Caenorhabditis elegans: one gene and its partner. The protein of the gene in region 1 interacts with the protein of each later gene in a pairwise test. Each region holds a gene or a part of one and is shown on either strand. Other genes may lie near its edges.

Region 1 (4,795 bases):
CGGAAAATGTGTATTTTCGCAGCGAATACCTTAAGAAATCGGAGCGTGGATGAGGATTTTACACTAAAATGCGCAAACTGATCCTAAATGCCGAAATACCACAAGAAAAACGAGAAAAAATCCATTCAGTTTGAAAAAAATCGGTTGATTTTAGCAAATTTTCAATTGTGACTAATCTCTTCAATCGAATTTCCGCGCTATTTTCTTCACTTCCGACGCGCTACGTTAAATCTTGTGTTTTCCCGTTTTTGTTCATTTCCAAACGAAAAAGACGCTACTCCACCATTAAGTTTTTTTCTTAATTTTGATTCTAAAAATTCTAAACACGATCTTAAATTTCCCTATTCTTGTCAGTAATTTTTCTTAAAAATGTAGCTCGATTTAATGCGAGGACTTATTTCAGCTCTTCAAACGACCTGACTGGATTCAGAACTGCACGGCACGGCAAACTCATTTCAATCCAGTGAGATTTCAGCCACAGGGGTGGTGGGCGACTGATCGGTTACTCTGCAAATCGGCAATTTGTCAATTGGCAAAGTTATAACTTTGCCAGATTTGCTGGAAAATACCATTCGTCCCTGATTTTAGCTTTTTAGCGCCAGATATTTTATTTTGTATTATCTTTTCCAGGTAACCGGACCAATAAGATTCTACTTGAGCAATCAATCGTGTGATGATCTACTCGGAACTGCCGCTACATCATTCTCTCGTCGATTTCAATTTCTTCTCGATGCCCTCTCACTGATAATTGGTGAAGACAAGAAAGCTGTTTATGCAGCATTTGTGATGCTTGAAATGCATCTAACGTCTTCTGAGCGTATTCAGTCGATTCGCGACGATTTGCTCACGTCGTCTCCAATCACTTTGAAGTGTCAAAAATTTCGAAATTCAACTCATCATATTCCGCGAAAATACGGTGTCATTTCGGAAGTTCCTATTGATCGGATCGAAAATTTGCGATACTTCAGATTATCTCGACAGTTTTTCGGTTTGTGTTTCCAGTTTTCGCACGTGCCAGTGTGAAATGATGTATTTCAGAACACGAGGAAATGCCGACTACTATCAATATGGAGCTTATCGACTATCGTAATCAAGAGATTCGGGATTCCGTCACCGAGACAGAAGTCCAACGCGCTCAAAACAGAATCATGAAATTGTGTTACGAGTTTGAGCAGTTTTTTGGTATTTTAGCTGTTAAATTTTGGTGATCTCAATGCTGTTATTTTTATTGTTGATTGTTGATTGTTGATATTTTCTGTTGCATTTTTAATTTTGAAGAACTTATTTTATTCTTGAATTTTCTGAGAAAAAAATTAACTACTTAAATAGAAAATAGAATTAGACACAAAAGCTGACCCGGAAGAAAAATAGAAAAGGGTTAAATGAAAGTTTAAAATTGAAAAAAGAGAGGATTGTTCTAGCCGAGAAGAGCTTTCTGCATGGCAACACCAAGCTTTGCAGGACTATCAGTCACCACCACATTCGCATTGCGAAGAGCCTCGATCTTATCGCCAGCAGTACCCTTTCCACCAGCGATGATAGCTCCGGCGTGTCCCATTCTACGACCTGGTGGAGCAGTGACTCCAGCGATGAACGAAACAACTGGCTTGGCATTGGAACCAGAGTTGCGAGATTTCAAGAACTCGGCGGCTTGTTCCTCGGCTTGTCCTCCGATTTCTCCGATCAGAATGATTCCTTTAGTTTGTTCGTCCTCCAAGAACACTTCCAAACAATCAATGAAGTTAGTTCCGTTGAACGGATCACCTCCGATTCCAATGCAACGCGTTTGTCCAAGTCCGACGGTAGTTGTTTGATGAACAGCTTCGTAGGTTAGAGTTCCCGATCGGGACACAATTCCGATGCAACCCTTCTTGTGAATATGCCCTGGCATGATTCCAATCTTGCAATCTCCAGATGCAATGATTCCAGGGCAATTTGGCCCAAGTAGACGAGATTTGTCTGCAAATGAAAGTTCATGCAGTTTATAGAACTTTTCTAATTTTTTCAAAATTAGTTAATCTGTATTTTCAGGCCAAGTATCGATGTTATCTATCATACTATACTCACTTTGTTTTAAAAGTCTATTCTTGACGCGGACCATATCTTGCTGCGGAATTCCTTCAGTGATTGCCACAATCAAGCCAATTTCAGCATCCATAGCCTCGTGAATTGCACGAGCTGCTCCTGCGGCAGGAACATAGATGACAGTAGCGTCGGCTCCAGTGCGGTCTTTCGCTTCTGCGACGGATCCGAACACGGGAAGCCCGAGATGCGTTTGACCGGCTTTGTTCGGCGAGACTCCTCCAACAAGATTCGTGTTGTATTCGAGCATTTGCTTGCTGTGGAAGGTTCCCTGACGTCCGGTGAAACCCTGGAAACTAGAAATTTTTTATAAGTCGGCACAAACGTGTCTCACCTGGACAATAACTTTGGTGCTTTTGTTGATCATCAAGTTGTTACGGGTGTCATTATACACACTACGTGTGACTGCCGCACGGGTAGCAGCACGGGCCGCCGATGCCAAAGTTGAAGCCATTTGAGCACTGTACCTATAAAATATGATTTATTGGCTAAGGTATGTGAAACAAAAAAGCGAAGGAACTAAAGAAGGAGAACGATGGCATGATCATTTCATTTGAACCTTTGCCCCGTGGGAAATTGAGGCTACGTCGGGGCACTCAAGTGAATGAAATTGACTATAGCCTATACATAGATTGCTCTTTTTTATTAGGAAACATGTAAATCAATTCGATATCAATTCTTTGAAGAGCAAATGATGTGGCCATAAATATTTAATAAGATAATCTTAATGTTGTTTTAGAAACAGATCCGTAAAAAATTTCACACATTTAAAAACATTTATTATGGCTGCCACACACTAGAAATAGTTCTTCTTATCTGTTGAAACGGAGTGAAAAATGACAAGTGCAAAGTCTACGGGAGATTGACAGAGATCATTTTGCAAGAACACAGCAGGCGGATAGGAGAGTGAACAGAAAAAAATCTATTGATTCTAAGAAGAGAACCAGATTGTGGCTTTTTTTTTGCAGACCAGTCCGTGGAAAAAAGGAACGTCCTTCTAGGAACAATTGGGCAGATGTTCTATTTTTTCTAAAGTATCACATTTTAATGCAAAATAGAAAGTAATAACCGAAGAAATGTGGGGAAAATAGAACAAACACATACATTTTCCAAGAAAGGCGGTGAAATGCAAACGCGCTCCATAGATAATTTCGTTGGGCGGCAATATGAACCTGGATTTTTTGGACTTTTTCAAAAATTACTTTTCCAATTTTATTTAGATATTAAACCTAGGTAATTTAAAAATCTTACGAGATGTATAAATACATGTTATTTATTGCACTGTGAAGTAAATAAGGTAGTAGACTTTATACAGAATATTGATTTATATTTAAAAAAAAATATTTTGGGAAACAAATTCTTATTCAAAAACAATTTAGTTCAACAATGCAATTTCAAATACATCTAATATCACAGAAAGAAACATTGGTAATAGCAAAGAAGATGGCAATCATTAAAAAAATCATGAAATATAAATTCAAATATAAACGAGCGGTTCAGAATCGATACTTTTTGTAAAATGTGAAAGTGCTGTTAACCAGCGATTTCTGTCCGTTTCTTCTTTAAACGAGAAGCAGAAGCCAGGAAATCGGCTACTGGAATAGCCAGTTTTCGTCGAACAAATCATAGTTGCGTTGAACAAGTTTGGCGATTTTCTTGTTGGCTCGGTGCCAACATACCAAATCGAATCATCCATAGGCCACGCTTTCCAGAGTTTCTCGTTTCGGAACGCGACAATCTGAAAATCCGTAAAGTATATGCTAGAAATTATTTGAAAAGGAAAGAATCAATGTGTCGATTTACGGGATAGTGTATACTATGACGGATACACTAGCACATACCGAAGTCCCATTTTCAATCTTGACTTCATACGATTTGAATGTTCGTGACCCAGGCTCAGCGATTTTGATTTTCCCAGTAAAACATGACATATCAGTCCCGTTGAATTGATATTTATCATGATCAAACAATAGATATGCATCTTTACAATTCCAATCAATCCATTGAAGTACACATTTTGACATTTTCTGAGCATTCGGAAGTCGTCTGATTAGGTTTCCACCGGCTAGACACTCGAATATCGCATATGGAGAATCGGGTGGTCCGTCGAATCCACGTTTTGCAATAGCCTCTCTACAAACTTCCTCACTCGCCAAGCTCATTTTCACATTGAACGGGCGGTTTTCTTTCTCCCAAACGTGGATCGCCACGATGAAGTCGGGACTTGGCTTTTTCTGAAATTTTTGATAATTATTTCAAAGCTTGAATTTTTTCAAAAAAATTGGAAAATAAAAAAACTTTTTTTTATATTTTTCACGTGGTGTCAGAATGTCCCATTACGGTTTCATCTACAAAACATGTGGTTTTTACTCCAAAATAAGTGACGTCAGCACGTTCTTAACCATGCAAAATCAGTTGAGAAATATGCGTCTAAATTCCCGCCATTCCCGAAGATCAAACCAAAATTGGACACGCTGACGTGATTTTTCGAAAAGTCTCAAAAATCGAAATCATTTTCGTTATTTTAGGTTTTTCTGAGAAGTAGCATGGGATCTTTTCGTGTAAAAAAATGAGTGAAAAATTCAAAAACCGAGCCCACTTTCGAACCAATAAGAATCTGATTGGTCCAAAAATAGGAGTTCTAAATAATTTTGGAGAAAATTCAAAAAAAAATCTTGATTTTTTTTTGTTATTTTGTGGTTTTTTAATTTGA
Region 2 (5,316 bases), 4.9 Mb from region 1:
TATTTGCCAAGATGACTGATTTGAATGCGACTTGATTTGGAGGCGGGGCCGATGTTTCCTTGTAAGTTTTATGAAGCAGAAGAATTGAAGATGTTGAGCTACCAAGGGAACGAGCATTTGGAAGAGATCGGGGTCCCAGATTTGAGAGCTTTTAAATATAATTTTATTTTAATTTCTTGCAGTTTAGTTTATGATTAGTTTATACACATGGAAAGCAATTAACTTCAAAGAGCGTTTCTTTTACATATATAAAACTAAAACATCATCATGTACTATGAATGCTCACCTGAGAGCACATCGAATGTACATCATCAGTGGAAGATCTTGTACCATTTGAATCATCTGGTCGAACTAATCTCTTACCCGAAAGGTCTAATGGTCTGAAAATTATAAAATCTGAAAAGAACATTATTTGAAAAAGCTTACTGCATAATTTGTAGAGTGAATTTTTCAGAAATACAATACAAAAATTGAGAAATGAACGAAAAATGTCAATGTTGAATGCAATAACTCGAGGCCCGCACGATTTATTTAAATTTATTTAGAATTTTGGTAGGATAATATTCAATTCAGAAGGACAATTCCAACTTGTAGAGCTAATGAGCGAAGAGAAGTTTAAAATTTCTGGAAAAGTTTTCATTTCAAGATAATTTTTTTTTCAAAAAACGTTTCAAAACTTCCGACTCTCACTTATTCCCTGTTTGAGCTTTCTCCAAAATAAGAAACCACGCCCACTTTTTGTCTTACTGTAGTCTTAAAGACGCAAACAAAAAAATACAAGGCAAAAAATTCAAAATTTCTAATTTTATTTTTAATTAAAAACAGAGGCACATAATCTCCCCGTAAATACCACTTGAGTGAATTCTTACCTGAAAAGTAAATTGGTGTGAAATTTCTAGAGCCTGGGAATGAAAAGAAAACATTTGAAAATAAAGACCACATGATTTATTTAGACTCAGTTAAAATTTTGTTATTGGTATGGAAGAAAGCATAACATTTACATTGAATAGAGATCAAATGAAGTGAAATTTTCGAGTTGAGTCATTCTATTTGAAAACGGAAAAACTCGAATCGTTAGGTTGTGGATCACAATTTTCCGTGTTCTCTCCGGCGTCGATTGTCGATGATCCGAATGTGTAATCACTCAGAAGGCGTCCGGTAAGAGAGCTTTTTAGACGTTCCATTTCACGTGCAGCTGCAGTGTTCTTCTCAAAAGCTACTTTCTGGGTTTCTTTGAACATTGCATTAAGTTTTGCGAATTTTGCAACAGCATCTTGGCAAGAGTTGGTGATTTGGGAAATCGTCTCACTGTGTGCGTTTTTTAGAGCGAGGAGTTCTTGCTTCTGAAAAAAATGTTGGTGAGTTTTATGAAGATTGATCTGACAAAAACCTTTTTAGCAATTTCCTGTGACACATCTGGCTGACTAGTTTTCAAATTTGCGATTTGCCTGAAAGATTTACATCGTTTAAAAAAATGTTTTCAAAGTATCAAATAAATTCCTCACTCGGTAATCTCCTCAATTCTACGCTGACGCTCTTCACTTTTCTGCGTGTGTTCTATACGCAATTGTTCATGAGTCTCCGACTGCTCGACGAGTCGCTTTTGTGCCGTTTCCATCTCCTTCATCATAAAATCCAATTGCTCCTCCATTTCCTTGAGCTTTCGAAGATTCTCACTTTCAACATCGATCAGGTCAATGATAACTTCTCGAACTTCAGTCCACTGATGGATCTTCTCAATAATCACTGGCACGTTCTTCTCCGAGTTGATGCAAATTTCACGAGCCTCGAGTTTTGCTTGAAGGCCTTTTCTGAAAATAATTACTTTTATTTTGAATTTTTGGAGAGACTGAAGATATATCAGTACTTTGATGATTCAAGACAATCGCGGAGCTCTTCAATGTGACGTTTCCTTTCCTCCATTTCTTGTTTCAGCTGTTCCGGCGATGTCAGAACTTCTTCATTCAAATGCTCAATTGTCTTTTTACCAGTTAGCATTTCCTTTTCGAGGGCTTGAATGTGCAGAATAGCTTCTTCTTTCTGCTTGTCGAGTTCTTCATTAATTTGACGAGTTTCGGTATATTCGTTCACAACATTTTTAAGTTCTGCCTTCGCATTGCTCTGTTCGTTGATTAATTCATGCTCATGACGTTTTCTTATGCTTTGTTTCGCGAGAAGATCATTTTTCTTCTTCTCGGCTTCTAACAACTCTTCCCGAATCTTTTCCATTTCGAACTTTCGATCACTGAACTCTTCGCTAATTTCATTGAACGCTGGAGTGGCCAATTCGTGAAGTTTCAGAAAATCTACAAGAAAACTTGTCAGCTTTCTGAATCGATGTTCGTGTTTTGCAGGTGTCACGAGATCGCACATCGTCAAGTCCAGCTTGTTGCCAGAATTATCTTTGATAAATGCTTTCCTGAAAAAATATTTCAGCAAATCTAACATTAAAATTAAAATCTTACATGCATTGGAAGAGAATAATGATAGGAATGCTCTTTTTATGCAATTCTGGATCATAATCACAGTTGGCGGACAGCGGAAGGGTCGTCAGCGAGCTTTCCGACACATTTAACACAAGCCTCACAAAATTAGCAAATATTTGTTGCGCTATTTCTGCCTGAAATCGGGTTATTTGTGCTGATGAATTCAATATTCTGTTCAAACTTACGGTTGGCTTGATAATGTCATCGGCGACAAGGCCCATATGCAATTTTTGACCAAGATACTTTGAAATCATCCGCGGATCATACACAATTAGTACAACGTTTGACATTTCTCCTGAAAAATGGAATTTCAGTTCTAAAAACACAAAAATAAAGTTAGAAATTGTTAAAAACAAAAAAGTTTATTTGAATTCGCCGAAGAGCGCGCCAAAACATGTGACATTTCTCGGCCGTGAAAACTAGGCCACCGCGGCCACAAACAAATTTTAGTTTTCTTCGCTGAAAAAAACATGTTTTTCAGTCTGAAATCAGAGTTTTTAGTATGAAACAAGATGGACGAGGCTTCCTGTAGATTTCCAGAATGGGTTTCTTCAAAAATCATCGATTATTACGCAGAGCAGGTAACATAAATCGCTGTGATGAAATAGGGACAAAATTTTTTTAATTTCAGAACATCAAAGCGCTGTTCGATTGGCAGATTGATGTGTTGAATGAGGCAAGACAATTTGAAGATCAACACTTGATATTCAGTGCGCCAACAAGTGCTGGGAAAAGCATTGTAGCTGAACTTTTATGTATTATTTTATCTGGTTTAAAGAATAAATGTTTAAAAACTGTAATTTTCAGCATGGAAAGTCGCTTCAACTGGTAGAAAGGTACTCTTCGTACTTCCTTATATCTCCGTGGCTCGAGAGAAACTTCATCAAATTCAACGGTGTTGGAGACGAGATGACATTTCTGTCTGTGGCTTCATTGGTCCACAGGCCTCAAATCCAAATGAGTGGCTTGGGGCAGTTTGTACCATCGAAAAAGCAGCAAGTTTGACAAATCGAGCATTATCAGAAGATTGGTTTGAGGAAATTGGTTAGATAAATCGATTTTAATTTAAAATTTTCACAAAAAGTAGCTTTCAGGAATGATAGTCGTTGATGAAATGCACATGGTTTTCGATTCGTCTCGTGGTGCACACATTGAGCACATGCTCTCGAAAGTTTTGCTCTGGAACCAATCTGCACTGGAAAAAGTTAGAATTATCGGAATGAGTGCAACTATTCCAGAACTTTATCGAATAGGCAAATGGCTGGACGGTGCGAAAGTTTTCGAAGCAAGATTTCGACCAATTGTTCTACAAAATCATATTGTAATTGGTTCGGAGTTGAGGAAATCTGGAGATAACAAAGTTCTAAGAGAATTCTCTGAAGATCCATTAATATTGCTTACCGAAGAGAGTTTTCGCCGCAATTCTCAGACTTTGGTAATGATTTCTTCGAAACTTGATGCCGAGAAGACTGCTTTGAATATTGCGTCGAGATTCCATGAGATCAATAAAACCGACAGCTCATTGTTGGAAATATTAAAAGAACGAGCCAATGGACTATTATTTATAAAGCATGGATTGGAACGGAATGGTTGCAAGGATCGGAATGTTATGTCAACACTTGCATGGGGAGTAGCATATCATCATGCTGGATTGACGATGGAGGAAAGAGAATGCATTGAACTAGGATTTCGGGAGAAAAATATTGTTATTCTTGTGGCTACAAGTACTTTGGCTTCAGGTGAGTGTTTTAAAATTTTAATTGTGGTCAACCGAAATATCGGAAGAAATTAAAAGCAAAATGTTTGTTGAAATATTTTTGGGGAAAAAATTAAATCAAACAATAATTTTCATTTAGGGTGAAGATTTGTTGATAAAAATTTACTTTAAACTTTCAAAAAATACTATTCACTCAAGAATTTCCAGTTGTTTGCTAATCCCGCTCTTCCCTTTTTTTTAAATCGAAAAGCGAAAATTTTTCGGTTTTTTTTTCGAGATTCCAAAATGTCGATTTTTCGAATAATAGCATACAATTTTGGCCCTTTTTAGCTGAAGAATATTAAATTTTTGTTTTCTTTTTTCTTATTGATGAAATAAGATAAAAGGTTCAAATTCGTCGATATATTAAGATTAAAACTATTATAATTTTTCAAACTTTACATTTTCAAAAGTTTAAAACCTTCTTTTCCAAATAAAAAAATAGAATTCCAGGCGTAAATCTCCCTGCGGAACGAGTACTCATCAAGGCTCAGCCACGTGGCCCATCGGCTCTCACTTCTCTAAATTACCGTCAGATGGTGGGAAGAGCGGGAAGAACAGGACATGCTACACGAGGTACGTCTTCTTTTCCCGCAAAATCTTCAAATAAGTACTTGACAAACGGCGATTAAAAAGAAAAAAGAAAGAAGTGGTTGTTTCCTGACCGCTCATTATTATTGTTGTTATTAGCAGATTAATTTATTATTTAGGTAATAGTTATTGACATTGAAATTCACGGAAAAATAGAGTTACATGGGATTATTGTAATCATGATAAAGCTTCAATGAAGCATTATTGTTCGGAATCATTTGAGAATCCTGAAAATGTAATTGTGAAAGTGAGGAACTGACAACAAGTGAAGTATCGAAATTCAATGATGACTGATGTTGGGGAGCTTGTTGTTGAACATGCTCAATTATTCGTGGTTTGTACTCGTTTTTCACTTGACGTTGCACTGGAGGAGTTACCGGACGGTCATCATCATCACTATCCGACATATCACATTTTTCAACACTCTCCAAGTGAGCCGCAGCTTCCATACTTTTCTTGTGCATTCCTGAAAACAATGTATCA

What was found.
Region 2: the proteins of sucl-2 (region 1) and him-10 interact in a two-hybrid assay, tested with the Caenorhabditis elegans proteins (one large-scale study listed by BioGRID).

What each region holds. Positions count from the first base shown.
Region 1 is NC_003281.10:898,864-903,658, forward strand, and holds sucl-2 (Succinate--CoA ligase [ADP/GDP-forming] subunit alpha, mitochondrial), read right to left. Parts: upstream 2,550-4,795; 5' UTR 2,537-2,549; coding exon 2,417-2,536; intron 2,372-2,416; coding exon 2,068-2,371; intron 1,960-2,067; coding exon 1,418-1,959; 3' UTR 1,275-1,417; downstream 1-1,274. Other genes in the region: F23H11.2 (TATA box-binding protein-associated factor RNA polymerase I subunit B), read left to right, coding at 404-463, 631-988, 1,039-1,208; F23H11.4 (Rho-GAP domain-containing protein), read right to left, coding at 3,560-3,820, 3,924-4,316.
Region 2 is NC_003281.10:5,800,725-5,806,040, reverse strand, and holds him-10 (Kinetochore protein Nuf2 homolog), read right to left. Parts: upstream 2,782-5,316; 5' UTR 2,777-2,781; coding exon 2,672-2,776; intron 2,621-2,671; coding exon 2,466-2,620; intron 2,420-2,465; coding exon 1,868-2,419; intron 1,812-1,867; coding exon 1,506-1,811; intron 1,449-1,505; coding exon 1,391-1,448; intron 1,344-1,390; coding exon 1,047-1,343; 3' UTR 929-1,046; downstream 1-928. Other genes in the region: R12B2.3 (Ras-associating domain-containing protein), read right to left, coding at 1-148, 287-380, 427-431; Homeobox protein ceh-10, read right to left, coding at 4,992-5,299; polq-1 (DNA polymerase theta), read left to right, coding at 2,999-3,067, 3,118-3,241, 3,294-3,530, 3,581-4,225, 4,696-4,818. UniProt on the Caenorhabditis elegans protein: Acts as a component of the essential kinetochore-associated NDC80 complex, which is required for chromosome segregation in mitosis and meiosis and spindle checkpoint activity.